Arabidopsis thaliana: one gene and its partners. The protein of the gene in region 2 interacts with the protein of the main gene of each other region in a pairwise test. Each region holds a gene or a part of one and is shown on either strand. Other genes may lie near its edges.

Region 1 (10,254 bases), on a different chromosome or scaffold from region 2:
AACCTTTTACGCCTCTTTGGATTCTGTATGACCCCGGAAGAGAGAATGCTTGTGTATCCGTACATGCCAAATGGAAGCGTAGCTGATCGTCTGAGAGGTTTTCAATTAACACATTTCTTGTTTTGTTATTCTTTCGATATATAACGCGAAAAGTTCCTTATAAGATTACATGTTTCAGACAATTATGGAGAAAAGCCGTCTCTAGATTGGAATCGGAGGATAAGCATTGCACTCGGCGCAGCTCGAGGACTTGTTTACTTGCACGAGCAATGCAATCCAAAGATTATTCACAGAGACGTCAAAGCTGCAAATATTCTACTTGATGAGAGCTTTGAAGCAATAGTTGGCGATTTTGGTCTAGCAAAGCTTTTAGACCAGAGAGATTCACATGTCACTACCGCAGTCCGAGGAACCATTGGACACATCGCTCCCGAGTACCTTTCCACTGGACAGTCCTCAGAGAAAACCGATGTTTTCGGATTCGGAGTACTAATCCTTGAACTCATAACAGGTCATAAGATGATTGATCAAGGCAATGGTCAAGTTCGAAAAGGAATGATATTGAGCTGGGTAAGTAAAAAAATTCTATGAGTCATTTACTCAACTTAGACTGAACCCATAAGGACAAAACTTAAATCTAAACCATTGGTTTTTGTAGGTAAGGACATTGAAAGCAGAGAAGAGATTTGCAGAGATGGTGGACAGAGATTTGAAGGGAGAGTTTGATGATTTGGTGTTGGAGGAAGTAGTGGAATTGGCTTTGCTTTGTACACAGCCACATCCGAATCTAAGACCGAGGATGTCTCAAGTGTTGAAGGTACTAGAAGGTTTAGTGGAACAGTGTGAAGGAGGGTATGAAGCTAGAGCTCCAAGTGTCTCTAGGAACTACAGTAATGGTCATGAAGAGCAGTCCTTTATTATTGAAGCCATTGAGCTCTCTGGACCACGATGATAGACTTCATAGTGTCTTAACTAGTCTTCTTGATTTTGTTGTCATTGTCATGGCATTAACTGTAAAAATTTGTTTTCTCAATAACTCTTATTTATTCTGTTCTTCCAAAAATAAATGAAGATTTGCGTTTCCACAGTCTCATAAAAAATTATCTATCGTTAATTTTAAAACTCATACATAATAAAGTGATTCGGCGAATGAAAGACTATTTGCCTTATGTAACTAAGAAGGCCAAATATATGCTTAAGATTATGCTTTTCTTATGGGCTTTATAATATTGGCCCATTAAACCATTTTAATAAATCAAAGGGGTAATTTCGTCATTGCGTTAATTCAAGAAACCCTAAGTACCGACCCATATAAGTTCTCTCACTTTGCACTCGACGCAGTTTTGGGCTTTGCAAACTCTACACTGCTTCGTCTCTTAGCTCGACATTGATCTCCTTAAAATGGTATTTGTTTCGTTCGTCTCTGTAGATCGATTCAATGAAAATGTGTTTAGTTCAATGGGTTTATTTTTCGGCTTTGTTTTGTTTCTCAGGCGTCGGAGAAGAAGCTCTCGAACCCCATGAGGGACATTAAGGTTCAGAAACTTGTTCTCAACATTTCCGTTGGTGAGAGTGGTGATCGTCTCACTCGTGCCTCCAAGGTTCGATTTTGTTTGTAAAAATCTGACCTTTACGATTATCCATCATTGATTTAGTGATTTAGATTTGAATTATTGTTTTTGGTTATTTCGTATAGGTGTTGGAGCAGCTCAGTGGACAAACCCCTGTCTTCTCTAAGGGTATGTGAATTTGAAATCTTTCAGGGATTTAAGTTTGATTTTGTGTTGATCTTGATTCTGATGTATGTTGTGGTTTTTGTTATACAGCGAGGTACACTGTGAGGTCTTTTGGTATCAGGCGTAATGAGAAGATTGCGTGTTATGTGACTGTGAGAGGTGAGAAGGCAATGCAGCTTCTTGAGAGTGGTTTGAAAGTTAAGGAGTATGAGCTTCTTAGGAGGAACTTCAGTGACACTGGTTGCTTTGGATTTGGTATCCAAGAGCACATTGATCTTGGAATCAAGTAAGTTTTCTGTTTCTTTTGCGATGAAAGTTTCCTTGAATTAGTTACATTAATGGCTTTGTATAATGGTTTTGGTACTTGGATTCTTCATGTATCTGTATATGTTTAAAAGAATTTCAGTTGCATCTAAATGTCAAGTCTCTAAATTAGGGGTTTTGTGAGGTTTAGTCAGAATGCAGACTACTTTGGTTTTCGCTGAGTGTTATAGTTTTTGTGGAATTTTAAGTATGGATTGGATTAAAAATGAGCCCTTTACTAGTTTTTGGTTGAATGCTAGATTTGGGTCTAGTAAAAGATGAATGCTTTACTGTTTTTCAAGGGTGTTAGATTCGAAACTGATTAACTGGTTTATTTGAAATGTTTACTGTTCTCATGTGTTTTATTTTGTGTATATAGGTACGATCCTTCCACTGGTATCTACGGAATGGACTTTTACGTTGTCCTTGAACGCCCAGGATATCGTGTGGCTCGCCGCCGTAGATGCAAGACTCGTGTTGGTATTCAACACAGAGTAACCAAGGATGATGCAATGAAATGGTTCCAGGTCAAGTATGAAGGAGTTATCCTCAACAAGTCTCAGAACATCACTGGTTAAAAAGTGTTTTGATCTTTAAAGATTTTTGTTGATTCTAGCTTATTTTAAGTTGTTATCTTTGGATGTTAAAGAATTTCTTGTTGTAGTAAATCTTTTGACATCAGTTTGGTAGAATCTAAATCTTCCAAGAACCTTGGAGATATGTTTCTTATTTTATTCAATGTCATCATCAAAACTAAAATCAATCAAAAGCAGCTCCTTTGATTTCATTGTCCTTATAGATGAATATGTCTCTGGACTACACAGTCCCTAAACTAACCCTATGTTTTGAACAAATTTGTATAAATAAAACTAAAGATACTCATAACCACAATTCATAAATACACTCATAACCACAATTCATAAATACTAAAACAGGAGAAAATAAAATAAAACATTTAGAAGGAGAGAAGGGTGAATACACAACCAATACAAAATTACTACGTCCCAGACTTCTCAAATCAAACGACACCTTTTAGCGAGATAAAAGAGGAAGAGGATTAAGAACACAAGCGAGAAAAGACCAATGCCGAGACCAAACAGAGTCTTGTTGGAACCTTTGTGTTCTTCTTCTTCTTCTTCCTTCGTCTTCAGATTCTCCGTCTTCTCCTCATTGCCTCCTTCAACGTCGTAATCGTTTTCTCCTGACAAAGATTCCTCCTTTTGCGACGGAGACCATAAAGGAAAACCGTATTTATCACACGGAGCAAGACCCTCCAATTTCAAGTTCGAGGAGAGAACAGTTTTGTTATAACAGAGCTCACTGTTCCTTCCAATTTCGAAAAAGTTGAGATTTTTGATGAAGCTTTCGTTGAATGGTAAAACTCCATGGAAGGAGTTATCAGCGAGATTCAAGTGTTTGAGGTTCTTCATCTCGGAGAAGAAACTTGGAACGGTTCCGTTTAGTTGATTCATACTTAGATCCAAATGTGTAAGTTCAGAGATAGATGAGAGTGAATTTGGGATTGTTCCTGATAGTTTGTTTGAAGCTAAAGATAAGTTTTTTAGAAAAGTTAAGCTTTTGATTTTGTTTGGTATTTGGCCAGAGAGAGAGTTATGAGATAAGTTTAAGGACTTGAGGTTTTTGAGACGAGTAATGGAAATGCGTATTGAGCCTTTGAGTGAGTTGTTTGATAAATCTATGTATCTGAGATTTGAGTGGAAAGATTTAGGGATAAGGCCAGTGAGATTTGAGTTTGAGATAGTGAGGGAAGTGAGTTTATGCATGTTTCCGAGGATGACATAAAGACGACGAGAGGTTTGGATTGGGGTTGAGGAAATGTAGAGGGTTTTGAGGTTTTTGAGACGAGCGAGGAAGAGGCCGGAGAGTTTGGTACGGTTGTTTTGGAGGAAGGAGGAGACGGCGGAGAAGGAGTGGAGGGAGATTGGGAGGTGGTATGGAGGAGAGAGTGAAGGGCAGTTAGTGAAAGAGAGGGAGATGAGAGATTTTGAGAGTGGTTTGAGTGTTTTGGAGGGGAGAGATAGAGTGGAGGAGCAGTTTGTGAAGGAGATTGAGGTGATGTGGCGGTAAGGAGAAGCGTCGTCGCAAGTTATGGACGAGGAGGAGGATTGGTTGTTGTTGTTGTTGCAGGGATCATTAGTTGGTGTAGAGATGTTGAGTGATTGGAGAGCTTTGAGCTGTTTTGGGTTTAGTGGATAGGAGGAGACGGTGGTTAAGAGAAGTGGGAGGAGGAGGAGGAGGAGCAATGGCGGTTGTGGTTGCTGCGGTTTCATAGTGGACAGAAGAGGAATGTTGGAAAGATTGGAATTTGAAAGAAGGGTCTTGTGAGTTTGTCACAGTTTAGAGACTTCTTTACTCTTAAAGAGGGAAGTGTTTGATTTGTTATTTTTCCCCAGTCTCTTAATTTTCTAAGTCTCCGTAGTATCCAAATAGAAATTACTTGTTGCTCTGAGTTGAGATTGTTAGAATGGTAGGTTATTTTTTGTTATGATTATAACATAATTTATTGAAAAATAAATTGGATTTCAACTTCGTAACAAAATCTTAATTGTGTAAATGGGACAAGAAGAAAAATCTGAAAGGGAGAAGTTAAATACACAAAAGTATAGAACAAACAAATAGTACGTAATGAAGTTGATGATAGTAAAAGAATTTAACAATTCAATAATTAAATGTAATCATTCTTTATAATTTGGTTATCAAACAAAAAAATAAACTAACTTGTAGATCAAGCAACCATTCTAATGTCAAAAATAAAAATGAATCTCTTAGACTAATAACAATGTCAAAAAGGATGAAGCTTTTAGACTATTTTTATGGACCCATCAGGCCTATTTAAGAGATTGAGTAAACCTTAACTACTCTTGTTGTGTCACACACTACAAGATTCTCAGAATCAGATTGATTCGTGCAAAGCCAATTCACCTGTTTAAGAAACACCAACAAATGTTCAGAATCAGACAAAAGAGAAAAGAGCAAAAAGAACAATGTGAGCTTTTAGTTACCTTCTTGCTTAGGTTAATATTCAAATGGAGGAGATCACTGTTATTGTTGTTGTTGTTTGGATCAAGACATTTAAAGCAATCCCAGATTTTGACTGTTTTATCATTACCACCAGAGATTAAGAATCTACCTTTCTCCTGAAACAGAGAAAAGGCTACACAAGAAACAGCAGAATTGTGTCCACCAACAGAGTAGTCTAAACAAACCCTTTTGACCACATTGTTGCTGCTGCTGCTGCTACTTCCTTTTGATGATGTTCCTTTTCGGGAAAGTTCTGATTCGATATTGATCAAATTGACAATTCCATCACCTCTAGCAACCGCACATATCTTGTCTAACTTATCAACCATGTCCATTTCCGGTATTGCTATTGAGTGAACAAACGCAGGGTTTAGGCATTGTCCCGAGTTATTATTTGTATCAGATCCTGAAAGATTACAGAAATGACTTGCAAAATCAGATTTGTTGCATATATATATGGCTAAAGAAACCAGAATTAGTGGCATAGTCTTTACCAAAGTCTATAATCTTTTGCGAGCGACCTTTTGAGAAATCCCATAAAACAAGCTTTGAATCAAGTCCACCAGTTATAACTGAAAGAAATTAGACACTTTAGAAGAGATGTGTATATATAATAACAAATCACAATAAGATATTAGTTACCTTCCCAAGGTCTCCATGGAATGAATTGTACAGAACTACATATCTTATATGTCTCATTAAGGTGTTGATTTGAGACATTTTTTCGAGGCTAGTAGAGTTTCATAGACGAGAATGGGTAAAAAAAACGAAGTAAGGATACACTTGTGTGACCAGCTCTAAGGGTTTTATAAAGGCATTTCTGACCAAGGTCGATGATCTGTGTACAAGCAAACTAATCAAACCGAGAACCGTCCCACCAAAATTCATGTTTATGTAATCTTTAAGAGTTTTAAGTATTAAGAACAACTATTGAGTGTACCTTAACATCGCCGGAATCATCTGCAGAAGCAAGAAAAGACGACCTTCCGTTACATACTACCTTTAACAAATCAAAAGATGTCAACATCAATGTCATAGGTAAATATGATAACTTTTTCGAAAAGTCGAGTTTTTAGTATCTCTACCTGGTTAACTTCATCTTTGTTGTAATTGTAACTCTCTAATGGCTTCCAAGAAGTAGCACTTAGCTATGAAATTGCATAAAGAGAGAAGCTTTAAAACTAAGTGAAGGATATGGTTATAGTTAGTTAATCAAAGTTTGAACATTTTAAATTACCGTATGAACATCGAAAGACTTGATTTCGTTTCCACAAGAAGCATAGAGAATGTTCTCATTACCTGAAAAATCAAATAAAAGTTATCACCAAATTGCAACAAAGAGAAGAAATTGAAAGAGAGAGAAACAGACAAAACACAAAGAGACAAAACCTGTCTTGAAACAAAGAGATGAAACTGGTTCTGTTCCAACATCGATGATGAATTGAACATCTTTACATCGCAAATCAAACCAGCAAATGCAACCATCCTATAATCGTATGATCGGAAAACTATGAATCTTGCGAAGTAACTACAATAACGAAACCTAAATTCATCGGAAAAAAGAGGTTTGAATTAGAGATTAAGAAACCTCGCCGGAAGTGAGAACAATTCCAGGCCGGTCACGAGAAGCTATACAACAAGTGGCAGTTGATTTGTGGCCTCTCAGCTTCCTTGGCTCTTCCATTGCCGTAGCCATAACTGTGAGTGAGAGTTTCTCCGGCGATTGCTCAGTTTCAAGCTCTAAATTGAGCTAAAAAAGGCTAACCGAAACAAACCAAAACTAAACCGGATATTTTGGTAATCCTTCGGTTTTGTACCAAAAAAATCGAAACAACAAAATTCCAACCTAACAGAAATCGATTTTAGTACCACTTAACCAAAATGAACCGATACGGTGAAACGAAATCAAACCGAAAATTATGTTCAACCAAACTGAAATCATCAAAGGCAGAAACTATTTTTATCTTTTCTTTTCAACAATTCTATTGTTTGAGATAAATATAATTTAGGGTTCTGAAAATTTGACATAGCATTTTCAAACAATAACATTGATAGATCAGATAAATAACAGAAATACACCAAATGGGCATTACTCAACCTAAAAGCAATCTTCATATTCGATAGAACCGTTAACAAAAACCGATCCTTAGGTTGTTAACAATAATTCTACTCTCTGATTAGTTCGAGCAGCATCCACCTTTCTTCACAGCTGAAACATCTTTACCGATATCGATCTTGTCTCCTTTCGATGGAACATTAGCGGATTCGCTCGCAGCTTCCATCGCCTTCTTGCTCACAATGTGGTGAATCTGAGTGAGGACTTCGGCGAAAGCGTTCTCAACATTGGTGGCTTCGAGAGCCGAGGTTTCCATGAAGTAGAGAGATTCTTTCTCGGCGAATGACTTAGCATCTTCAGTCTGAACAGCCACGAGATGGCGAAGGTCAGATTTGTTGCCCACGAGCATGACTACAATGTTTGGATCAGTGTGGTTTCTGAGTTCTTTCAGCCAAGTCTCAACGTTTTCAAATGTTGAGTGTCGGGTTACATCGTAGACAAGAAGCGCTCCAACAGCTCCTCGGTAATACGCACTAGTGATGGCTCGGTACCTATTGAAACAAAGTCAACGAAACAGAGAATTAAGTTAACCGAAACATCAGGAACACAAAAAAGGCAAGAAGCTTTACAGTTTCGAATTCAGACTATGCACGCTTTACAAAACTGATCAGAGAAATGGAGAATAGCAAATCATACAAAGCAAGAAGCTTTTCAATTTTGAAATTAAGACCAAGTAAAAGCTTCAAATGAAAGTTTAAGAATCCAACTAAAACCAATCAAGCTCTCTTACATAAATAAACTAAGCAAAAACAACAGAAGAAATCGATAATGATTGAAGAATCTTAGGTGAAATCTGAGAAAGAAGAGCTAAGAATCGTAGAAATGAAGTTACTGAAACCAATCAAGCTCTCTCACATAAACCTAAAATAGCAAAAACAACAGAAGAAATTTGATAAAGCTGATAACTTTATAATCATAATCATAGGATTCTCCTATCTTACACAAAACCCAAGTTGTCAAAATCACATACTAATCCAGATCTCTTCTTATAAAAGTGATCAATACCAATGGATCTAAATCAATTGATACAGATCTAACCTAAGCTGAAAATTTACTGTCTTTGGCAACCAAACAAAACCATAAACCCCAAAACTTCAATCAAAATGTTCTAATATAAGAAACCAGATCGAGAAATGAACAATGTGGTTGAAAAAGATGAGACCTTTCTTGACCAGCAGTATCCCAAATCTGAGCTTTGATGACTTTATCATCAACATTCAAACTCCGAGTCGCGAACTCGACCCCGATCGTGGATTTTGACTCGAGACTAAACTCGTTCTTCGTGAATCGTGAAAGCAAATTGGATTTGCCCACACCTGAATCACCTATCAGAACAACCTTGAATAGGTAATCGTATTCATCATCTGCTCTGTAACCCGCCATTGATTCTCTCCTTCAAAGCTTTTAACTTTACTCCTTCAGATTCGAGAAAACAAAACAAAGAGAGAGATAAAAATGGGTCCTTCTTTTCAAAATGAAAAACCCAAATGAGATTTGAAACTTGTTGCTCTTTTTTCCTTAGATTTTGTTTTGAAAATTTTTTCGATTTCAACAGAGAAAGACGCGGAATTGGAAAATATCAAACGAGAAAGACAAAGGACTTGTGTACTGTCTTTATCACAAAGAAATCTAACATTTGTGTGGCCAAATTTACTAAACTGCCCTGTTAACGCGTTCTGATCTATTACCTTGCTCGCTTCGATAAAGACGAGGACGTATTCGTCAATTCACATTTGTCTTTATCTTTTATGTTTTTCTAAACTGATTAAAATGATAAAAAAGAATGCGTCTGCCGGGAGTCGAACCCGGGTCTATTGCTTGGAAGGCAATTATCCTAACCGTTGGACTACAGACGCTGACGATTAATTCAAACAGATATAATATACTAATCCAGAATAATATGACGTGGCAAGTAAAGTGACTATAAATAAAATCGGGGAGATCTGTTTTCACTTTCTTCTCTCTAACAAACTAAGGCCTTGAATGGTACTAGTTTTTAAAGTTGATTTTGGCTTTTGATTTTACAAAATCCACTTTTTCATCCATTCATGATTTTGTAAAAAGTTAATTTCCTAAATTATAGGGAATTCAAAATTTAAAAGATTCTAGTCATTTGTTCTTAAAATCCAAAATTCACTTTTTTGGGATTTTCAACAAATTCTATCGTAAACTCTTTTTTTTTTGTTTTTAAAAATAAAAATAAAGTTTTAAATAAATAATTTTAAAACGTTTCTAAATAATAATTATATAAAAATCAAAAACTAGAAAAGTTACCATTTAAGATTTTGCAAAATCTAAAATCTCCACCAAAATCAAAAACTCATAAAATCAAAAACAAAAAACCAAAAGCCACAATCCAAAATCCAAAAACCCACCAAAATCAACAAAACATTCATGGCCTAATTTGGCAGTCAAAACAGAATTTGACCTTGAAGACGACTCTTGCAGACTTCTCCGGCGATTCTCCCGCCGTGAAACTCTTATCGGCGGCTATCTTTCTCCGTTTCGTTCCCGACGGTCGAGTTTGTACTGGCATTTACTTTACTTGTTCGAAGCGACTTCCAATTTTCACCTAATCAAACGCGACTCTCAACGGTTCGAGAATGGGTTGTATCGGATCTTCTCAGGCCAGAAATGAAGGCGGAGGTTAGTGGAATCGATACTCTCTTAAACCTTTAATTCCGCACTCCGTTTGTCTCGCTGAATTTGTTCTCAGAATTTGGGCTACGATTTATACTTGTGTTGTAATGTTTTGATTCTTGGTGATAGTTCTAGTTTTGAGGTGTTAACATGAACTAATCTTGCAAATGTTATGATTCTTGGAGTGATTTCGAAGGAAATATCAGTTTATTGTGGTGTTGACATGTTTGTGATTCGTTAAAGATTCCAAATTTTGAAGCTCAGAATTAGTTCAGCAGAGAATTAGAATGCTCTTCAACATTGTTTCTACTGCTCAGAATTAGAATGTTGGATCAGAGAAAGTTGTTATCGATGGTATGATTGAAATGAAATGGCCGTTTACTAATGTTATAACATTCCATTTTTACCAAGAAAAAT
Region 2 (9,673 bases):
ATGTCCAACAAGTTGCAGTTGGCCGGAGACCTCACCTTACTGTCTTTGGAACCGACTACAAGACAAAGGATGGTACAGGGGTATGTGACTTATGATGTCTTATAGACAACAAACCATTTGACAGATTTACATTACAATCTTAAATTGTGATATATTATGGAGTATGGGAGATAATACAACGAATTGTGAATTATATTAACAGATATTATTCATCTTTGTTGTGTTTCTTTCAGGTTAGAGATTACATTCATGTCATGGATTTAGCAGATGGACACATAGCTGCTCTGCGTAAGCTAGATGATCTCAAAATCAGTAAGGATTATCTTAAAACTCTTTGATGTTTCTACTCTCATCATTATTCGCCATTGGTCAGGCTTAATACTTGTTATGGTCAGGTTGTGAGGTATACAATCTTGGAACGGGTAATGGAACATCGGTCCTAGAAATGGTCGCTGCCTTTGAAAAAGCATCCGGAAAGGTAAACCTTAGTTGATTTGTTTTACTAGCTCAATACTCTTACCAAGTGAGCCAGTTATTTGCCTTTCGATACCCATATTTTGAGAACTGATTTTGAACTTTATGATTTATTACCAATTAGAAAATCCCTTTGGTGATGGCTGGACGACGTCCTGGAGACGCTGAAGTTGTTTACGCCTCAACGGAAAAAGCAGAGCGCGAACTAAATTGGAAGTAAGCTCATTTCATTTTGTTAACATAATAGCAATAAGTATATGAATGACAAACATAAAATCAATGCATCAACATTTCGATGTAATTGTTTGGTATTTAGGCAGTTTTTTGTTTTGTTTGGTATGGTGTCAATGCAGGGCTAAGAATGGGATAGAGGAGATGTGTAGGGATCTATGGAATTGGGCAAGCAATAACCCCTACGGCTACAATTCCTCCTCCAATGGCTCCTCTTCATAATTCTCCTTTTTTAATTTTTATTTTGCCTTTTTTGCTTACTTATATTCATATAAACAAACACATAAAAAAAAAGAAGAGAAAGGCTGACAAGTACCCAAACTTTAGAAGAAATTGAGGAAAATTCTTGTACTATCAATTTATCATAGAAACTATATTTATTAAATCGTTAGTTTTCAATCGTTGGGAGTTTTTTTTCTTGCATTTGTGTGTATTTGTTCTATTTTTCTGATATTTATGTCTGTAAATGTGACTCATTCATTATTGATCGACACAAAAATACAAATATCTATAACAAATCACGCACATAACTCAAAACCAAAAGCAAACACACAACCATAATTGTATTCCGAGCTCATCAAACATCTGAGTCGATCTGTAATACACGGCATACGCAACTAATTGGACTAAGCCAAGTACTGTGCATAACACAAAGGAAACCTGAAGAACAAAGAAATCAAATTTCAATACTGAAAAATCAAAATTAGGTAAATTTAATGTAAGTGAACTAACAATTTAAAAGAACAGAAGACTTACAAACATGATACGATCAACCGGCAGTAAAGAGATGACGGTCCAAACGGTTGCGTTTGCAAACATTGCAAACCCTACCAAGAACGACATATGTTCGACGCTCTTAGTTCTTACAACTTTCACTTGCGTTTATCATTATTTCGTTGTTAATTTTTTTTCGTATTAGTAATGCGAGGATATTTATTAATCTTTGATATTCATAAACTAAACTTACCAATACAGACACCGGAGAAAACGCAACAGACGTCCACAATAACAAATCACCGAAGACCCAAAGATTCGATGAAACCTAAAGCCAACGTGGCAAATGTAGTTACAGATACCACCTCGAGTACCAAAATGATAATCACTAATCGCTGCGTAGAGTGCTTGCAAAATCTAATATATGCGGCCAAATAGATCCCCATGATCAAGACTCCAATCCCATTAGTGATGAGGGTAGGAGTCCCAATAAAAAAAAAGACTTACAAACATAATTGGATCCACATGTAGTAGATAGACGATGGTCCAAACGATTGCGTTTGCAATGTTTACATATTTAGCTTGTTTTTGTTCCACATCATAAAAGTAATTAAAGAAATTTTTATTAATTAAAGAACAAGTTCTCTCGAAGATCACGAAGGAGAGAAGAAAGTGCAATCTTTATAGAAATATGAAAAGATTAGATGATAGTAAATTATAAAGATATAGATACATGCATAACATAAGCAAAATATATACATAACATAAGCAAAACATAAGCATATTTTGTTTATGCGCATATCACATTATATAGACTTTGTTTAGCAATGTAAACATCATAAAATTGATTCATTATGTAGAGTAAATAAGAAGAAGACGGAGAAAGCGGTAAAAAAAGATAGATAAGAAAACATAAGTATATGTCTTAAATAAGAAATAATAAATATAGGTTATGGTAGGCCTTGGCAAAAAAACCGTACCTGAAAACTCGAACCGAAACCGATTCGAAAAACCGGTTTGGGGCGGGTACGTATATTAGCTATTTACCCTATTGGGTTTTAGATTGTTGTACCCGTGGATATAGGATAATAGCCGACCCAAACCCGATACCCGAAAGGGTATCAACTTATCCGAAATTACATATACTTATTCATAGATTTATACATATAAAAATTTATTTTATATTTAATATTTGAACCAAATACATTTATATCCAAATATCCAATAATAATTACTAAAAACTAAATGTACCTATATTTAAATACTTAATACTAAATATTTTATATATGCAAAATATTCGTAAATGTTTTGGATATTTGGACAAAATTTCGGTTATTCGGGTAAAATTCAGATATTTGGGTAAAATTTTCGACTATTTGGGTATAATTTCGGGTATTTGGGTAAAATTATCGACTATTTGGGTACAAATTTCGGGTATTTGGTACAATTTCGGGTATTTGGGTAAATTTTTGGGTATTTGGATATAAAATACATGAATCCGAAGGATACCCGTTTTTTTCGAGTATTTAACGGTTCTAAAATTCTATACCCGAACCAACCCAAACCCGATTAGAACCGAACCACCGAAGTTTTCTATTTACTCTATTGGATTCTAGAACAGTATACCCGTACCCGATCGGGTATTACCCGAACCGACCCGCATACCCGAATACCCGGCCCTACGTTATGGCTATAAGTGTATTTACTATACAGAAAACGTTAATCCAAACAAAGAATATGGAAAGCATGCATATCTATGTAGACTAATGTTAAGGCTATTACAATTGGCAACCGAAAATTTCGTGTTAAGTTGTAATTTAGTATACGTACAAAATCTAAAAGTACAATAGCTTTGTATTAATATTTGCAATTTTCTAACTTGATGGATTCAGAAAAGAACCCAAGAGGTTTCACTTCACATACATGTATTTTTGAAAAATAACCATGTCACTTTTACAATTGTTTTTTAATATTAACAACGGACGGCTACGATGGAACCATCACTCGAGGAAATCGCGATCCTACAATTACATTTAGCCGCGATTCGGTGAGTAAACAAACCGAGAACCCGAACCCGACCCGCCATCTCCAGCTTCGACTCTATTTCCACTGTTGACCCGGACCGATCCGAATTTTGAAATTGGGCGGCGGAGATTTGAGAACTAGAGGCCGCCGCGAGAGGAAACGACTGAACGGAGAAAGTAGCTAACATACGCTTGGTTCGACCCGATTCGATCTCACCAGCAGGTACGAAGGTATAACCGATCCGGTTTCCATAGTAAAAGAGCTGGATTACATTGTTGTAGTGTGAGAAAGCTGCGCGGTTAGGGTTTCTAACGGCGGAGAATTGAGAAAAGGTGAAACTAACGGAGCTATTAGCGACGGAGAATGAAGGAACCTTGACGCTAGTGACGGAGATCTCAGGATCTCTCGGTCTAAAGACTGTGAGATAAACAGTAAGTGCGGCGATGATTAAGAAGACTATGAAGAGCGTGGCGACGGCGCATGAAGCGAGGTTTGAACAAGACTTCGACATTTCTCGGTGGAGATGTTTGGTAGCGATGATTTAAGTGTTCACTAGTTGGGATAAAGAGTTTATTTTTGGTTAAAGGGAAAGCAAAACGACGTGTAAAAGCAAAAGGATGTTTTGTTTGGACATAGTGATAACGTTACAACGGAGTTTGGACTTAAGTGTGTGTGATGCAGCGAAGGTGGCCGACTAGAGCTAAATAAATTATTTTAGTGAACAAACAATGTACCCGGAACAGAAACCGGGTTTCGAAGTCGGGTCGAATTGTTGTAATTTAGAGCTAACAGAACAAAAACCTCCTGAGATTGAATAAACCTCCGATTGCTCTATTTTCTTATCCAGAACGAAGAGAGATTCAAATTTCGCAATGCGATTCTAGTGAAGCTTCTTTTTCTTCTGTACATGGTTATCGTCGTAAAATGGCGTCTATAGACAATGTTTTCTCACTCGGTACTCGGTTCTCAATCCCAGAAAACCCCAAGAGATCGATATTGAAACACGCGACTACATCGAGTTTCTCCGCGAGAACTCAAACTCGATGGAGAGCTCCAATTCTGCGTCGGTCGTTTACAGTTTTGTGCGAATTGAAAACTGGGTCATCTAGCTCCGGCGAGACGAACAATTCCCCTGCTGCTGACGATTTCGTAACTAGGGTTTTGAAGGAGAATCCTAGCCAAGTGGAACCTCGTTACCGAGTTGGTGATAAGCTGTATAATCTGAAGGAGAGAGAAGATTTAAGCAAAGGCACCAATGCGGCGACGGGTGCGTTTGAATTTATCAAAAGGAAGTTTGATTCGAAGAAGAAAACAGAGACAGACAAAAGCGAAGAGTCTGTTTATTTGAGTGATATTTTGAGGGAGTACAAAGGAAAGCTTTATGTTCCGGAGCAAGTTTTTGGGCCAGAGTTATCTGAAGAAGAGGAGTTTGAGAAAAATGTGAAAGATTTACCAAAGATGAGTTTGGAAGATTTTAGAAAAGCTATGGAGAATGATAAAGTTAAGCTGCTTACATCGAAGGAAGTTTCTGGTGTTTCTTATACGAGTGGCTATAGAGGTTTTATTGTTGATCTTAAGGAGATTCCTGGAGTCAAGAGCTTACAGAGAACCAAATGGTGAATTACTAGGATTAAGAAGAAGAATAAAAGTTTTAATTTTGATGTATGGAGAATATTGGTATGATTTTCTTATTGATCTGTTTCTTGATAGGTCAATGAAGCTTGAAGTTGGAGAAGCTCAAGCTCTTCTGAAAGAATACACGGGTCCGCAGTACGAAATTGAAAGGCACATGACGGTGATCACGCTTTTGTTCATTTAGATCTTATCTACTAGATTATATAATCTAATGTCCTCAATATTTTTGTATTGTGTTGGTTAGGAATTTTTCATAACCTATTCACTAGGTTGACAAACAGATCTATTTTGTTCTGTTATTGACTGAGTTTATATGTTTGCAGTCTTGGGTTGGAAAAGTGGCGGACTTCCCAAACCCTGTTGCGTCTTCTATTTCAAGTAGAGTGATGGTTGAGCTGGGAATGGTGACAGCAGTTATTGCTGCAGCCGCAGTTGTTGTTGGAGGATTCTTAGCCTCAGCTGTTTTTGCAGTCACTAGTTTCGCCTTTGTCACTACAGTATATGTTGTTTGGCCTATAGCAAAGCCATTCCTCAAACTTTTTGTTGGCGTCTTCCTTGGTGTTCTTGAAAAATCATGGGATTACATTGTTGATGTTCTCGCCGATGGGGGCATCTTCTCAAGGATTTCTGATTTCTATACATTTGGTGGTGTAGCATCAAGTCTGGAGATGCTCAAACCAATCCTACTTGTTGTCATGACTATGGTTCTTCTTGTTCGTTTCACACTGTCACGGAGACCAAAGAACTTTAGGAAATGGGTATAATACTTTAATCACTCAACACTTTTTTGCAGAATCTATTGATATCGCTTGCGCCCTCAATCACTTCAAATGTTTTTGCAGGATTTATGGCAAGGGATTGCTTTTTCTCAGTCTAAAGCAGAAGCTCGTGTTGATGTAAGTTTCTAACCATTACTCCTATATGCATGTTTCTTCAGTTCTAATACTTTTTTGGTTGAGTTTTTTATGACTTCAATGATTATATTTCAGGGTTCAACCGGTGTTAAATTCGCTGATGTTGCAGGGATTGATGAAGCAGTTGATGAACTTCAAGAGGTATCGCTTGACCAAATTTCTCGTGCAATTACTTTAGTATGCTTGCGCCAGTTCTTCCCTGAGTATGGATCTCTTGTTTTATTATGTGCATTCTTGGTTAGCTTAGCCTCTAAAACCCTTACCATTAGGGCTTCACTGCTACCCCATCAAGTATAAAGTTGCATGACATTATTTCGTTGAATCTTGGAAGCTCGAGAGAAACCGGGATCTGAAGCTTACTAACCTCTTAGTCTCATTACGATTATCTCATTTTCTTGATAGCTTGTAAAGTACTTGAAGAATCCCGACCTGTTTGATAAAATGGGAATTAAACCTCCCCATGGAGTTCTTCTGGAGGGTCCCCCTGGTTGTGGCAAGGTATGTGTAACCATCTATGCTAATGCCAATCGAAAAGATTTATTGTTAAGTATTGAATAGTATTTTTGTAGCAGCATTATACTTTAGAATACTAAGAAATACTATAGATAATCAAACATGCAGTGGTGCCTGTTGAGATCAATTCTGCTGAGGTTGATGGTTGTATTTCAGAGTATGCTGAGTGTTTGGCAATATCATCACTACTCCTTCAACTTAAACCTGAAATTTGTCTTAAAAAAGTTTTGAATGTTTAGTTGCTATTAACAAGTTATGATTGATTCCTATTCTCGATTGAGATCTTATAAAATCTCAATGTTTTATACAATTGTCAATGATCAGTTTACCTCTTATTGTAGTCGATTAGCTTTATCTACAAGGATCTTTTGACAACCCAGTTGCTAGCAATATAGAGCCTAACCTAACCTGATTTGCTTTCGTAGACACTCGTTGCAAAAGCCATTGCGGGGGAAGCTGGTGTACCGTTCTACCAAATGGCAGGATCTGAATTCGTCGAAGTTCTTGTTGGAGTTGGGTCAGCTCGTATCAGAGATCTGTTTAAAAGAGCTAAGGTGATTGGACATATGTGTATTTATACATTTCTGTGCAGAGATGTTAAATAGTATTTGATGATGTCTATGTCCTTGTGCAGGTAAACAAGCCATCCGTTATTTTCATCGATGAAATTGATGCCTTAGCAACTCGGTATACAATATTTTCGTCCCTTGTATCTAGATTTTGATATACTACCTTCCTTGCATAATTTTTCAACTTGAGACGGAGTTTAACTGATATCGCTCTTTATATTTTGGTATTCGTTAGACGTCAAGGGATTTTCAAGGAAAACTCAGACCAGTTGTACAATGCGGCCACACAAGAAAGAGAAACCACATTGAACCAGCTACTCATCGAGCTTGATGGTTTTGACACAGGCAAAGGTGTGATTTTCTTGGGTGCCACCAATCGCAGAGATTTGTTAGACCCTGCTCTTCTACGTCCAGGTCGATTTGATCGAAAGGTTTGTGATTAACAAAATCTAGACACTAAATCTTCTGTTCTCAAATTTTTGATAGCAGTTATTCGAATTAATAAACAACCAAACGACAATCGCAAGCCATTTGAATTTATCTTGCATTAATTTTGTAGACTTAAGAGTACCGGATAGACCGTTAAAAATAATCTTCTTATCAGATAAGAGTCCGTCCCCCTAATGCGAAAGGGAGATTGGATATTCTGAAGATTCATGCCAGCAAAGTCAAGATGTCGGATTCTGTTGACTTATCATCTTATGCAAGTAACTTACCAGGTATAAAATCTACAATTGATGTTGCAAAGAATATTTGTTATGCTCATGGTGTACCTTTTCCCATAGACAACTTATGTGTTTGAACGTATTGGCCTGTATAAAACTTTGATTAAAGTAATTGTTTATATCAATTACAGGATGGTCCGGAGCAAAACTGGCACAGTTGGTTCAAGAGGCTGCTCTTGTAGCTGTCAGGAAAACGCATAACTCGATTCTTCAATCAGACATGGACGACGCTGTGGACCGACTCACTGTTGGTCCGACACGTATTGGTTTAGAATTGGGACATCAAGGTCAGTGTCGTAGAGCCACAACTGAAGTCGGAGTGGCAATCACTTCACATCTTTTATTGCGGTATGAGAATGCAAAGATTGAGCGGTGCGATCGCGTTTCTATCATTCCTCGTGGTCAGACACTGTCTCAAGTTGTGTTTCATCGGCTTGATGATGAGTCCTACATGTTTGGTCGTCTTCCACAACTGCTTCATCGTCTTCAGGTGCTTCTTTTTCTCTATTAAAAAAACTCTTCACTCATTTCTCTAATATTCGATGTTACGAGTTTATTATACTTCTAAAATTTCTATTTCAGGTCTTGCTCGGAGGAAGAGCTGCAGAAGAAGTGATCTACGGTTCAGATACTTCAAAGGCATCAGTCGATTATCTCTCTGACGCCTCATGGCTAGCTCGTAAAATCTTAACCATGTGAGAGGCCCAATTTTGCATATTTTCACATTCCCCTTTAAAGTAAAAGCTTCTTCTTACTCAAGACTTATATATATTTGGATTTCAGATGGAACCTGGAGAACCCAATGGTGATACATGGCGAACCACCACCATGGAGAAAGAGACCTCAGTTCGTGGGACCACGCTTAGACTTTGAAGGATCTCTCTATGACGACTATGACCTCGTCGAGCCGCCAGTTAACTTCAACATGGATGATGAAGTCGCACATAGAAGCGAAGAACTCATTAGCCAGATGTATAACAAAACAGTTTCTCTCCTCAGGCAAAACCAAACCGCTCTCCTCAAAACCGTTAAGGTAATTTCAAACATTTAACCGCAATTGCGTTTTCGTTTGATTTGTTCATACTTTTATTTTCCCATGTGTAGGTTCTATTGAACCAGAAAGAGATAAGTGGAGAAGCAATAGACTTCATACTTGACCATTACCCTCCTCAGACTCCGTTAAATTCTCTCTTACAAGAGCAAAATCCGGGAAGTCTTCCTTTTGTCCCTGAACATCTCCGGCGTGAATCCGGCGACTTTGTCCTTGTTAATCACTCTACCGACGTCAATGCTCAAGTATGATTCCGGCGTCCCAGAGACATCAAATCACTAAGCTTAGGTTTATTCATTGTCCGTCATTGTAACTTCGACTCAATCTCTGAAGTTTCGGACAGTTAAATTTACAGAAATAAAGAAAAAAACTTGGGTCAAAGACACTTCTTTGATTTGCTAACAATAGATTAGACAAACTTAAGTATAAATTTAGAAACAAAAAAAGTTTTAATTCCGAGGAAATCGACGGACAAAAAGTTTGGTTCTTTGTTTCAAACCACACAAGACAGCAACAACACGAGTCATGCACTCTCTTTCTTACCTTTTTTCTTCTTCTTCATCCGTCTTCTTTTGCTCTTGTTCCTCGTGCCCTCTTCTCGGTTTCTACAGATACAGGTCATAGTCATACAACCAACGATCTCTCTTGACTCTCTCCATCTGTGCATGTCACACACGAGTATAGATCTCTTCTCTGCTTTATAGATATGGCGAGGCGCGGAAGCTGTTCGACGATATGCCTGAATGAAAAATTGCAAAGGTTTCGAATTGTCAGAATCTCCGACAAGGCTGATAATTTTAATTCCAGAAGCGGCAGCTTCTT
Region 3 (12,433 bases), on a different chromosome or scaffold from region 2:
AGATAGATAGTTTTTTTTGGAGATCTGTAACATTTATGTAGACGTTATTTTATCTCAATTATATAAAATTAAGGTCGATCATATTATGTAACAAACAACCTCGACCGTGTTTCATTCAGAAAAAAATATGAATGGCCTCAGATTTGTTGCGTTAGAGATGATACAATAAAATGAGAGAGAAAGAAAGAAAAAAGGGAAAAACAGCACGAGAGACAAATTTTATTAACCTTCTGTTGAATTTGTGTTTGATGTATTTTTTCTGTCGTTTTCTAGTTTCCTAATTCATGGCTATTCTCCTTTTTGCCGTGAGCTTATTGGCCCTTATAAAGTTGGAAATGAAATGACCCGTTGGTCCATTTTATTTAATGAGTGTGCTGTATTTATTGTGCTTTTTGTTGGGACTGATTTTCAATTTTTCATTGAAATGCTGTTTTTTTGTTGCTTCTATTTGTCTCTATTTATTTTATCTGCATGATTTTGGACTAATTAAAAAGAGACTAATTTTTAATATTTATGAAAACACTAGATATTTTTCTTATCTATGATAAAGAATATAAATCATAATTTTTCAATCCACATGGTAAATATTTGAGCCATTTGACTATTGTATGTTGGTTGTTTAGGTTTCTATTAAGCGATACAGAAAGTTATTATTTTCTTCATTTTATGTAAATGATGTTTTAGTTTCTATGTTTATTTGAAAATAGACAGAGAAATAATATAAATCAATTTTCTGTTAAGAAGAACTAATCATTTAACTTTACAACTGAACTTAGTAATCATAAACTAACAATTATTTCCCAACAACGGTTAATGTCCACCAAAACAAGCGTTATAAGTTAGTTTGGTCTATGTTGGCAAAACCTTGCAAAGAAGGAGGATGCGTTTAACAAACTTTGAAGTGTTTTTTTAAAAAGTTTAATGATGTCATGTTGCCTTCCACGAGACCTGAAAGAGATTTGTATTTTGGATTAAGAGTTGATTATCTACTGGACTATGATGCTATGAATGATATTGCTAATTAATCCTACAACCATACAAAAACAAATCATTTAATGTATTTTTCCAAATCATCTCATAATTGGGATAACTGGGAGCAATCGGGATGGCATTAACCAAAAGATGATTTTTATATTTCATGTATACGTATGTCAAAGTTTACTTCCCTTTCGAATTGGTTTCTTAACTATGTTGTAATTGACTCAATGACATCTTGATGATATAGTTCCTTGTCGTGCGAATATCATCTTTCCAGTCTACAATGTGGATTACAGTGGAGTTTTTTTTATTCTATTTATGTAGTTATATACGGTAAGAAAACTGACAGTAATTGACCGTATTCTATTTATGTAGTCTACAATAGTGAGTTTTCTTACGGCGAAAAACATAAGAAATTTGTAAGAAATAGTTATTTTTTACCATTTTTTAACCAAAACATTTGTAGGAAATGTCCCGTAAAACTTACTATTTGATCAAAATAAAATATATAGAATGAAATAAAATTGTCGTACTCATTAAATAATTGTTTTGATAAATTTTAAGAAAATCGTACAGATTTGAAACTAAATACACCCAAAAAAAAGTTTTTAAAAGGGTTAAATTACAAATTACATGTTAATATATATACATATATAACGTTTTATGTTTTGTTTTCTAATCTTTTGTAGAAATTTAAAATATGAAAACCAGCATATAATTTACGAATTTTTTATTAGTATGAAAGTTTCCGAAATTCTGATATTTTTGGAAAAGAATAAATGGTTGTTTTCTTATATTGTCCCTATATATAGCAGGGGGTACGAACTTGCCTATGTGTTTAAATGTGAGCCGTATGTTGCTTCGACATCATGGGGCCAAATCAACATCATTGTCAAATAATGGCTACAGTTTTTTTGAAGATTTTTGAGGTTTCATTCTTCCATATCAGTATGTGTTTTTAACCATCCTAATGTTATGTGTGTTTATAATAACATTAGGATTGTAAAACAAATTAAGAGTTGTGAATTATATCATTTTTCTGAACATTACTTATTAAAATTAAAATTTGTCTCTCAAATTATTGACAAAAATATAAAGTAACCATGTATGTATTAACTAAACCATGTTATTTAGTGGTTTATGATATTTTGTTGTTGTGTTTGTACTTTGTAGTTCGGTTTAAATCCGTGTTTTCATATTATTAAAAAGAAAACTCATATTTATTAAATATAATAATATTTAAATTTGAAAAAAAGATCAAGTAGAATTTCACGTACTATATAAATATTATTAATATTGTAAGGATTATGAAAAATGAATAAATATGAATTGAACTAATAAGTGACTACAGATGTAAATCTCTCACCAATAGAAAAGGGTGTTTGTATTAATCTAATTTCATGAAAAGAAAGAAAATAAAAAAAGCTATCCTGTCTGTCGTATTGTTTGGATGAATATGTGATTAAACACGTTGATGTGATATATCCAACGATGACGTCTACAAGCTGGAGAATCCTAGGTGACTAGATCCTTAATACTCCAGTTTCCAAAACTAGATCATCTTCATCTTTCCGTTTTTGACCTATTGGCTAGATAAGTGAGGTAAAACATTTTTTCATCTTATTTTTTTTTCTAACCTTTTAAAAAATTTAATGAATTTACTGGAAATGTTTTTCTTATATATTTTGTAATTTAATGATTTCAAACGGTAATTATTTAATTAACAACAAATGCATCCACATAAGCTATTTAGATGGTGGTTCAACTTGATTTGTTTGGGTTGAATTTAATTCGAATGTGTTATGTGTCTTGACTTTATTTCTTCAAATTCTATAAGTAGATAAACACAATTATCCCATATATTAATGATGTACAAGTGCAAGTAAATGATTTTTATATACAAATATTTAGTTTTTTTTTTTAGACATGTATAAACTTGTAATTTATATTAGCACTGGACACATTATAAACACAGGATTGCCTACAATCATTTATTTAAACTTACATTCACTTTTTCTTTTTAATCTTACATTCATTTATATACCACATATAGAAAAAATGAAAAAAAACTCACGTTATTGTTCGTGTACAGCTTCAGGCCTTCAGCATATAATAAAATGAGAAGATATAAGAGGTCAAAGTTTCTCTTCAGTCTTAATAAGTAACGGTTTAATAACATACGCTCCCGATACCAAATCTGGTTATGAACAATGTTTACTCTCGTATGATTCGTGAAGACAACACATTCGCGCCATTCGCTCATAGGACGTTTCTTCACGGTTCAATTGGTGCCATCATTTATTGATTATTAGAACCTGAAAGAAAAAGAAAAAAGAACCACTAAGCTACAAGGCTATCCTTACACGTCTAACGTAATCATTAGTTTGGAAATTGGAATTAAAGGGACACGCTAGAACAAATTGGAGTGAAGATATTGTCCCTCTGAATTGTTTCCCTTTACGGTAAAAAATCATTAAAATAGTATATATATAAAAAGCGTGAAAAGAAGAAGGAACGTACAAAAGTTGAGAGAATATCCTACAGATGAAGTTAGAAATGGTGGGCTGAGGCACACGTGCTAGGTTATGTCCGTACTGTCGCCATTGTACGAACGAGACGAAAGTGGAATTTGTATCTTCTGATAACTATTAGAACAAACCACAAAAGCCCATGTCTCTACTCTGATAATAATAATATTGGTGCCTTCCACAAAGGCCAAGCTACTTTATATACAGACCTACACACTTTCATTATTTGGTTCATAAAAGGTATAAGAGAATAATTATTTTTTTCAACTAAAAATTAATAACTTATTTTTATGCTTTTACTATATACATGAAAAAGGACCCCCCCCCCCCTACCCACCCAAATATGAAATTAAATTCTTATTCTAGTCTAATAAACATATAACGGATGATTTAGACAATAACTTTATTACAATTTTAAAATGCAATAACACGTGATTGACCAATAAACCTAGCAATATATGGATCGTATATTGTAAAAATTTGGACTAGTTCGCTGATGGGTAGCCCAATGGGTGAAGTGGCCCAAAGAAAACTCGCCGTCTTATAATAAATGTCGCTATTTATTATACTTGGCGGCGATAACCTAATTCGAAAGCTGTGAAACTTGGAGAAATGGGTAAACAATTTGCTCTTAATATTCTTCGTCTACAGTTTTTCTAGTGAATGATTCATTATTTTGTTCAATATCTTTCTGTGATGAGTAGGTGCATACAAGTGTGTTTCGGAGCTATGGAGAAAGGTGGTTTCGTTATTAATCTTAAAATGTACTAACCCTAGAGAATATAGACTAGACTTTTCATCAAATTAGGAGTTTTCTATATGAAGCATACTATCACAAGTCTAGTAGGCAAGTTAATAATAATCCAAAGGAATCTCTATGGTCTCTACTTGTAATTTTATTCTAGCTACATCACAGCTTGACCTGGATCTAGGGGGCTTTTGTAACTAGAGAGGAAAAATCAAAGAGGGACACAAATAAAAAACAGAGAGAAAAACAGAGTGTGCTCAATTGTTTGTGTTCTTTAACTTTTCATGCTACAAATCTTTAAATCCAAGAGAGTGAGTTAAAAACAATAATGAAGAGTATGAAATCAGGCTACCGAAATTGATACTTTGACTAGGTAAAAGAAAGAAGGTTAGAGTGAGTTGATATAAATGTAATGTGAATGAAACAATAATAATCCTTTATATACAGAGAAACAATATGTCAAATAAAGACTCCCTAATACAATTTGCTGAAGCCTGAAGTGACCCCTGAGTCTCCCAATCGCGGGAACAACACCTCTTTCTCAATCAAAACCTGGAGGTGCGATGTGATTTTGCGGAATGAAACCCACACAAAGGGTGCGCAACAAAATGCGTATGCGAAAACTGACAAGGCTCTGACCACTCCATCAGGGTACCAAGGGAAGGCCATGACAAGGAGAGTGCCGAGAATTCCTAGCCATGGAGTGAGAACAGGGAGCGTTGGGAGGAGGAGAGTGTTGATTGAAATGGAAGAGAGAGCAAAAGAAGCCATCAAGTAGAGCGACCAGCCGATGAGTGGGTGGATAGTGTGAGGGATGGTGAAGAATGGGAAGATGTAGGCTGCAACTACAGAGAGAAGCGCGATCAACTTAAAACCAGCTTGGATCGTTGTTAAGTTGCGGTCAGAGCGGCGATAACATAGCTTGGTTATGTTAGGACGAGCTAGTCGTGTAACCACTATGATTCCAAGGTAAAACATTGCTTGGATTATAACCAAAGGCATTTCGGCTGAGTACCTATTGCAAGATCATTATTATTAGCCACTATACAGAGCTTAAGAGGGAGTTGTCATCATTTAAAAATTTAAAATTACCCTATAGTGGCGCGACGCTGCTCGTGCCATGAGAAACCTAGTGGAAGAACAGGCCATGACCACCAGTACCATGGCTTTAACCAAACAGCTCCCGGGAATGTAATCACACTGTTTGGTCCACAGGGTATGTTCCATCTTAGCTTAAGATCTGAGAGTACAAGTTAATACATTAGCCAACATTAATCATTATAGACAAAATCTTGAGAGAAGAATTAAGAGACTACTTACAGAAATAAGAAGCGTCCATTTGGTAGCCTAAGGGAAGTCTCAAGTGACCATTAAGTACAGATCCGTTACTCGGAGGACTAAAGAGAGGTTGGTCAAGAAGATCAGAGAAGTAACTGACAAGAAAACCTTGATCAGCTCCATCAGGATTCTTTCTTCCAACTTGTAGCTCATGGAGCATGTCCTTGAACACTTCCACTGATGGCTGCAACACGAAGAGACCAGTGTGGAAGATACAAGGGTTAATGAAGACCGCACAGAAGCGCCCACACTGGAACAACTCGTCGGCTTTCTTAAGAAAGAGGTTATCGGCATCTAGCATGACCACACGGTCGTAATCAGACAAAGCCCAAGCGTAGAGCTTGTTTAGAGTAAGCTTGAATCTACTGTTGAAGTTGGTCTGTCTCCTGTATGGATTATCCACATTTTCAACTCTCACCACTTTAGCTCCATCTTCCTCTTCCCTGCTCACAAAGAGGCTCATTAGTATTCACACACACAAACATCGTACAAACAAACTAGTTATGCATGCATGTTTTTTAGAATAAATATATTCTTATGAATCATATCAGAAAATGAAGTTCTTGTGTAAAGTCCTAATAATGTTGCTTTCAATTATTATAGGTTTATCTTTCTTATCGGATGTGCTCTAAAGGACACAAAAATTATTACTATAGGCTATGAGGTTGAGATGTAGACGTTATTGCATGATCTATGCAGCAGATTGGCCGGTCATAAATTAGTAATTTGACACAAAAAAACAGCTCTTTCTTGTTTCCAAAAGGTTTCAATCAAAACGCTAAAGTCAAACAACTCTCCTTAAGTTAATATGATTTCAATTCAATGTAATAAGATTATTGCTATCGATCGCTTTTAGTTGCCATATTCTTTATCTCTACGCCTGTTTCAACTTTTTTGGGTGCATAATGAATTGTTGACTTAATCTATGGTTTATTTCTAAATTTTTGAAAACTGGATTGTTTTGGTGGTTAATACCATCCGGACCACTTAGTTTTAGTCTAATCTGTCCATAGAAACTCAAATGATTAATTCACCTACATGCCTATTAAATATGTTTTTAAAAATTGTTGTTTAACTTATAAAAATACTAAACTAATCAAAAACTTAATATGAAAAAAACAAAAGAAGTTTTTCAAAACTAGATGACACCTAACGAGTTTTTGAGAATTGATTTTTTAAAACACAAATATATTTCTATACAGATAGGCGCGTTGTCATATACTATATAGGACCAATAGGAGAGGATATAATGGAGTTAAATGCGTTGGTCTAAGTGTCTGTCAACCATAAATACTCAAACATTTGTTTCTCTCCAACTTTTACTTACACCAAAATAGTAAGGTCAAAAAATGAACTCAAAAAATTCCATTTTAATTCGTGAAGCCAATCAAGAGAAAGAAAACGATAGAATAAAAAAAACTAATATGCTTTTGTCTCGATATTTTCTATGAATAAGGTGGTCGTTGTCTCATTCGAACAATTTTCTAAGCTAACTTCAATTTCTAAGAGAAAAAAGTGAATCAAGACTCAAGAGTCCAACCAGGGAAGGACGTAGAGGAAAGGGAAGGTGTATCTGTCTGTGCCACTGCCAACTATAACTTCTTAAAATATTTGTTTCTATAAGCTAAACTGAAATATATTTGTTTTCATATTAGCTTATATATTCAAGAATACAACTAGACAAGGACCAATTCTTATCTTTACTTTTTTCTTTCCCTTTGCTTAAATAAGTAATGTTGATATATATAGAAAAATACCATTTGAATTTGTTTTTAGAACTCCTGCTGTTTCACGCACGATGCCATTATAGTGAAAATTACGAATGTTTTGTAAAAAAATTTTTAAAAATTAATAGCAATTGTATATTCCAGCCTAATAATAGTTTGGTGGTCAAGTTTCGAAACGACAGCGTTTAAGATGGTCGGAAGAGAGACTTACAAGGTTTGAACCCATCGGAGAGGAACGTCGAGAGAAGCGATGACGACGAGATCAGCTTCCACGTGAAGACTTCTCAACGATCTGATCAAAACACGTGTCGCAACGTAGAACTCGTAGTCTCTTGGCGTCCCCATGTACATCATCGTTGCGTATGCGTTCTTATGCTCCGGTCGCCGCGTCTTCAAACCTCGATCTTGAACCGTCACCACCGCGTTTGCGGTATCTATCGCCGTTTCTTGCGGTGGTTGCAGCAGCAGCAGCTGTCTCTCTCGATACGCCGTCGTTTCGATTATCATAAAAGATAGAACCAAAGACAAGAACACAAAGCCTCTCTGCAAATCCATTCTTGATTTCTCTGTACAATGTCCGAATTGCTAAAACAAATCAAATGAAAAGAATTTATCTAGAATCTGAAACTTTTAAAGAATGTGTAAACGCATACGCGTATATATATATATACAGAGAATGTATCAAAGAGAAAGGGAGGTTTCTGGGAGACTGTGAAGGGTTAAAAAGGTATAATGGCGACTGGCCAATGACAACATTATTTTAACAATTAGAAGAAAACGAAAAAGTTGAGCATATATTCCTAGGTTGCTCTAATTTTACTTTAAACAAGTTAATTACTGTATTAGTTGCTAATGACTAAAACAAGTTAATTACTGTTAGTTTACATATTTCCAAAGCAAATCTAACACCGTTCATTTTTCTTTCATATTGATCGAATTCTACATTCTTATTTGTTTCCAAAAAAATTTGAAAATATAAAAGATTTTGATTCCAGATTTTTAAGGGTTTAAAAGAGAAATCTTTTAGTCACATTTTTTGGACTAAGAGAGATTTGTAACGCTGTTAGTTTGTAACGCACTAAAAGATGATGAATTAAGGTCTGCTTAATTTTTAAAATATTAATAAATTAAAAGGGGAGTTATGAAAGTAACCGTATTTTTATTTTATGTATTTTGTTGGCAGCTAATATTATGGAAATGGTCAATTTAGGACCATGTGACTGAGCCCGTTGTTCTCTTGGCAAGTGGTGTCTGGTGTGTAATCTCATCCCAGTTCATTATTTTTTATATTTCCACTACATATTTCTTTAATTCTTTTACTAATCTCCACCAAAATTCAAAGTCAAATCTGTCAAGAAACTAACATTGTGTGTTAAAAAGGTAAAATATATTGCATATTGGACGATCAGTGGATTGAAATACTGGAAATGAGAGGAATTGAAATAGGATTAGTAAATTTAATAATTAGAGTAATTAAGAGGAGAACTTTTTTCCTGTATCTCTTAAACTGGAAAAAAATTCCAACAAAAGTGAATGGAAAATCCGAAAATAAGGAAAAAATTATACTATACTGTATAGAAATACTCAGATTGGACCAAGAATAGTGAGAAAATACACAAATTTCTTGTACAGATGTTTTGAGTCACATCCACAAGACTGTACGGTAAGAAGCCCTATATTAGTCAGAGGAGAGAGGAGGAAAGTAATGTTCTTACGTTTGATTCACAATTACTTAGCAAAATACAAAGTACAATATGCATAATAGTATAATTTTATTGGAAAGATCGTTTCAGACACTAGAATTATACCTAACTACATTAACTGTTATCGTTTTCTAATAGTCGTCCTTGTCACGTTGGTTTTGTACCACTTATTTTGAGGTTAACAGGAAAATAAAATTCATTGTATGTTTTAGGCAGATATCCAACGTTGACTGTACGTACCCAAATATGCACATTTATGGAGTAATACATAACAACCCATCTTGTATTTTTTTATTAAGTATATGGCAATATGGATATTTATATTGTACAACATATCAAGATTACGTGTTGTATCATTTCATCATGCAATAGGCTGTATTATATTTCCTCTATCCCATTTTCTTAAAAACGTTTTGGCTAAAATCACAAAGATTAAGAAACAACAAGTATTTTCTCATTTATAAAAAATCAACCAATATAACAAATTAAAATACTGCACATTTTAAATAGTTATAAACTACTAAATTATAAATAAAAACTAGGAACAAAACTAATAAATGGAACAAAAAACATCTTTATCGTATATTAGAACAGAAATTTGGGGGAAGAAAGTAGAGAAAAGGGAAAGAGGAAGGAAAGGGTCGAGTAAACGTTGACTGATTAAACAAGACACGACTCCTCTTATCTTGTGTTGAAACCGCGTCGGTCCAAATTGTCTGAAATTGTCTTTTAGATGCTTACGGATCCAACCAAGTGTCTCCTTTTTCTGTTGACTTCTACTTATGTACATTTTTGTTTTATTGTTTAAAGACCATGTTGACATTATTTCTTTTTATTAAGTATCGAAAGGTTGCTAGTTGCTACAATGAGTTTCATGAGCCAATCTTTGCGATTGCGATGATGAAAAACAGGAGTACCTACTATTTCAAGGCTTCAATAAAACACAACTTAATCGAAATCTTCATATGACAAAAGTTAACTCTTACAATTAAATGCAAACTTGATTACCTTTTTTCAAGTATCCACATAACACATTAGGCTAGAGAATTACTTAATCTCACATCTGAATTCGGTCCAAACAAAACCCATTGTTATCAAACGGACAATATTCAGGTATTCAAATTCGAGTTTGGTCCAACCGTTAAGATCTTAGCATGCAAACTATTTTCAAGATGGATTCCAAAGAAAGCCCAATAAGTTTGACAAAACGCCTGAAAGAGAAGATTATGACTCTATTTCTCCGAGATTGTTGGATATATGTTTAGTCCAACATTCTTTAATCTTGTCTTCTTAATCTCTTTAGAAATCGATTGTTTTGTGGGTCAAGATTAATGTGTAGCTTTAGCCGAAGCCTTATGGACATTTTAAGGCCCATTAACATATGGAAATGGGTCAAAATTGAACAATTTATAAAATAAGATGTCAAAAGTAGAATTTACGAGGGAATTGGGGACGAAGAAAAAGAAAGAAGAATGGACTTGGGAATCAAGCAAGGGTCAAAGCGTCAACAAGCGAGCTAAAGCCGAGAGCAGCGGTGTCAAAAAACCTCATCCGCCGCAAAACCCCTAAAACCCTCCGGCACCGGAACTTTCTCTTTCTTCTATCACTTTCCTTTGACTGTCTCTATCGAGATTTCAATCACTGAATCGATTGAATCTTAAGCAATGATGGGCCAAGAAGCAGCTCCGACGGGACCACCCAACAGAGAACTCTACGCGCTCCTGAATTTATCACCGGAGGCCTCCGACGAAGAAATCAGAAAAGCTTATCGTCAATGGGCTCAAGTTTATCACCCTGACAAGATCCAATCTCCTCAGGTTTGCCCGAATCAATCTTCTTTGTTTTCAATTCGCCTCTGATCTTCGTGATATCAAATTTGGATACTTTACATAAAGGAAGTAGCTTTTTCGAGTGGGCTGATTTAGAATTTGTGTGGTTAGATGAAGGAAGTAGCTACGGAGAATTTCCAACGGATATGTGAAGCATATGAGATATTGTCGGATGAGACTAAGAGGCTAATATATGACTTATATGGCATGGAAGGATTGAATTCAGGATTAGAGCTTGGTCCTAGGTTGAGTAAGGCTGATGAGATCAAAGAGGAGCTTGAAAGGATTAAGAGGAGAAATGAAGAAGCTAAGAAGATGGCTCATTTTCAACCCACTGGTTCTATTCTCTTCAATTTGTCTGTCCCACATTTTTTAGTAGGCGATGGCATCATGAGAGGGTACTTATTTTCTTCTTCTTTTCAAGTTTTGATGTATTTTTGGTAGCATGGTTCTTGATTTGGGTTCCTAATTTGACCTTGGAGACACTTACTAGTCTGGAAAGTTTTGATAGCAAATGGTTTATTGAGAAAAGATTTGGTCTTGTTTCTGTTTTCTTCTTATCTAGTTGTGTGTATTAGTTATCTTGTGTGAGAATTTTGGTTGCTCAACACTAGCCCTGACTACTTTGTTTCATTTGAAGTAGTTTTTGATGCCTTTTCGTTTCTTTTGTGCTTGTATCTGCAACTTTCAGAATGGTTATGGCTAGTCAAGTGCAGTCTCAGTTGTCAAAAGATGATGCAATTGCCATTGGTGGAAATTTGGCGGCCAATGAAAAGTCTGGTGGCGGAGTCGCTACTGCCATACTGAGACGTCAGATTTCTCCAGTGTCATCCATAGAGTTTGTCGCTTCAACGGGTTTGCAGTCGCTTATTGGAGTGCAGACAACACGGTAGGCTCATGAGTTTTTCCAGTTATTTCTGGGCATCTTTTATGGTTTCGGTTTATGTGACTCTTATGGGTTTCTTGTTGGGGCAGTCAGTTAACCATACATTCAACTGCCACAATCAATATTTCAAAGTCTTTGAGTGATGGCTCCATCAATCTTACCAACACGTGGACTCGACAGCTTTCAGAAACTTCAAGCGGAAATGTAAGTTCGCTCTGTTGTTTTGATTAAACCTTCTAAGATGGCGAGAAAGCAGTTTTCTCGATTTTAAAATAGTTCATTTCATCCAGATTGAACTGGCACTGGGTATGCGATCAGCAATTACAGTTGGATGGAAAAAGAGAGACGAGAATGTATCTGCTGCTGGTGACTTTAAGGTAGGCTGAGTACCAAATTGCATTCTGACTGTTCTTACCTCGACCACCTTTCTTACTTTCCCTAGCTCTAATCTTGCTATTACTAGATTGAATCTGGTGGACTCGGAGCATCAGCTCGTTATACTCGTAAACTTTCATCCAAATCTCATGGTCGCATTGTGGGTAGAATCGGAAGGTATGTTTTATTGACAATCCCGAGCAACCTAATGTATGATGTGCGAGAGGATAGAAATCATTTTTTAAGTTGTCTTTACATGTGTGGCGCAATCATTGTTCTCATTTTACTTTGGAATTTTTTTTTTAACTTATTCAGCAATGC

Evidence for each region.
Region 1: the proteins of AT4G23930 (region 2) and RLP55 interact in a protein complementation assay, tested with the Arabidopsis thaliana proteins (one large-scale study listed by BioGRID).
Region 3: the proteins of AT4G23930 (region 2) and PGSIP7 interact in a protein complementation assay, tested with the Arabidopsis thaliana proteins (one large-scale study listed by BioGRID).

What each region holds. Positions count from the first base shown.
Region 1 is NC_003076.8:18,557,644-18,567,897, reverse strand, and holds RLP55 (receptor like protein 55), read right to left. Parts: upstream 4,566-10,254; 5' UTR 4,331-4,565; coding exon 3,053-4,330; 3' UTR 2,977-3,052; downstream 1-2,976. Other genes in the region: AT5G45780 (Leucine-rich repeat protein kinase family protein), read left to right, coding at 1-97, 179-570, 659-952; AT5G45775 (Ribosomal L5P family protein), read left to right, coding at 1,402-1,404, 1,494-1,601, 1,697-1,739, 1,827-2,022, 2,419-2,617; AT5G45760 (Transducin/WD40 repeat-like superfamily protein), read right to left, coding at 4,893-4,982, 5,063-5,487, 5,576-5,653, 5,724-5,766, 5,863-5,919, 6,022-6,081, 6,167-6,229, 6,319-6,380 and 2 more; RABA1c (RAB GTPase homolog A1C), read right to left, coding at 7,259-7,688, 8,360-8,580; AT5G45740 (Ubiquitin domain-containing protein), read left to right, coding at 9,801-9,843. UniProt on the Arabidopsis thaliana protein: Involved in plant defense.
Region 2 is NC_003075.7:12,432,740-12,442,412, forward strand, and holds AT4G23930 (Late embryogenesis abundant (LEA) hydroxyproline-rich glycoprotein family), read right to left. Parts: upstream 4,089-9,673; 5' UTR 3,956-4,088; coding exon 3,392-3,955; 3' UTR 3,261-3,391; downstream 1-3,260. Other genes in the region: UGE2 (UDP-D-glucose/UDP-D-galactose 4-epimerase 2), read left to right, coding at 1-80, 234-312, 396-478, 599-690, 828-927; FtsHi1 (FtsH extracellular protease family), read left to right, coding at 4,369-5,060, 5,155-5,239, 5,403-5,837, 5,922-5,975, 6,069-6,134, 6,396-6,491, 6,932-7,060, 7,141-7,193 and 6 more; AT4G23950 (Galactose-binding protein), read left to right, coding at 9,558-9,673.
Region 3 is NC_003071.7:15,006,197-15,018,629, forward strand, and holds PGSIP7 (Nucleotide-diphospho-sugar transferases superfamily protein), read right to left. Parts: upstream 8,089-12,433; 5' UTR 7,875-8,088; coding exon 7,531-7,874; coding exon of another isoform or gene 7,527-7,530; exon of another isoform or gene 6,056-7,526; coding exon of another isoform or gene 6,036-6,055; coding exon 5,575-6,035; intron 5,495-5,574; coding exon 5,347-5,494; coding exon of another isoform or gene 5,343-5,346; exon of another isoform or gene 5,270-5,342; coding exon 4,729-5,269; 3' UTR 4,511-4,728; downstream 1-4,510. Other genes in the region: OWL1 (DNAJ heat shock N-terminal domain-containing protein), read left to right, coding at 10,687-10,839, 10,963-11,249, 11,543-11,740, 11,827-11,941, 12,028-12,114, 12,201-12,289, 12,428-12,433.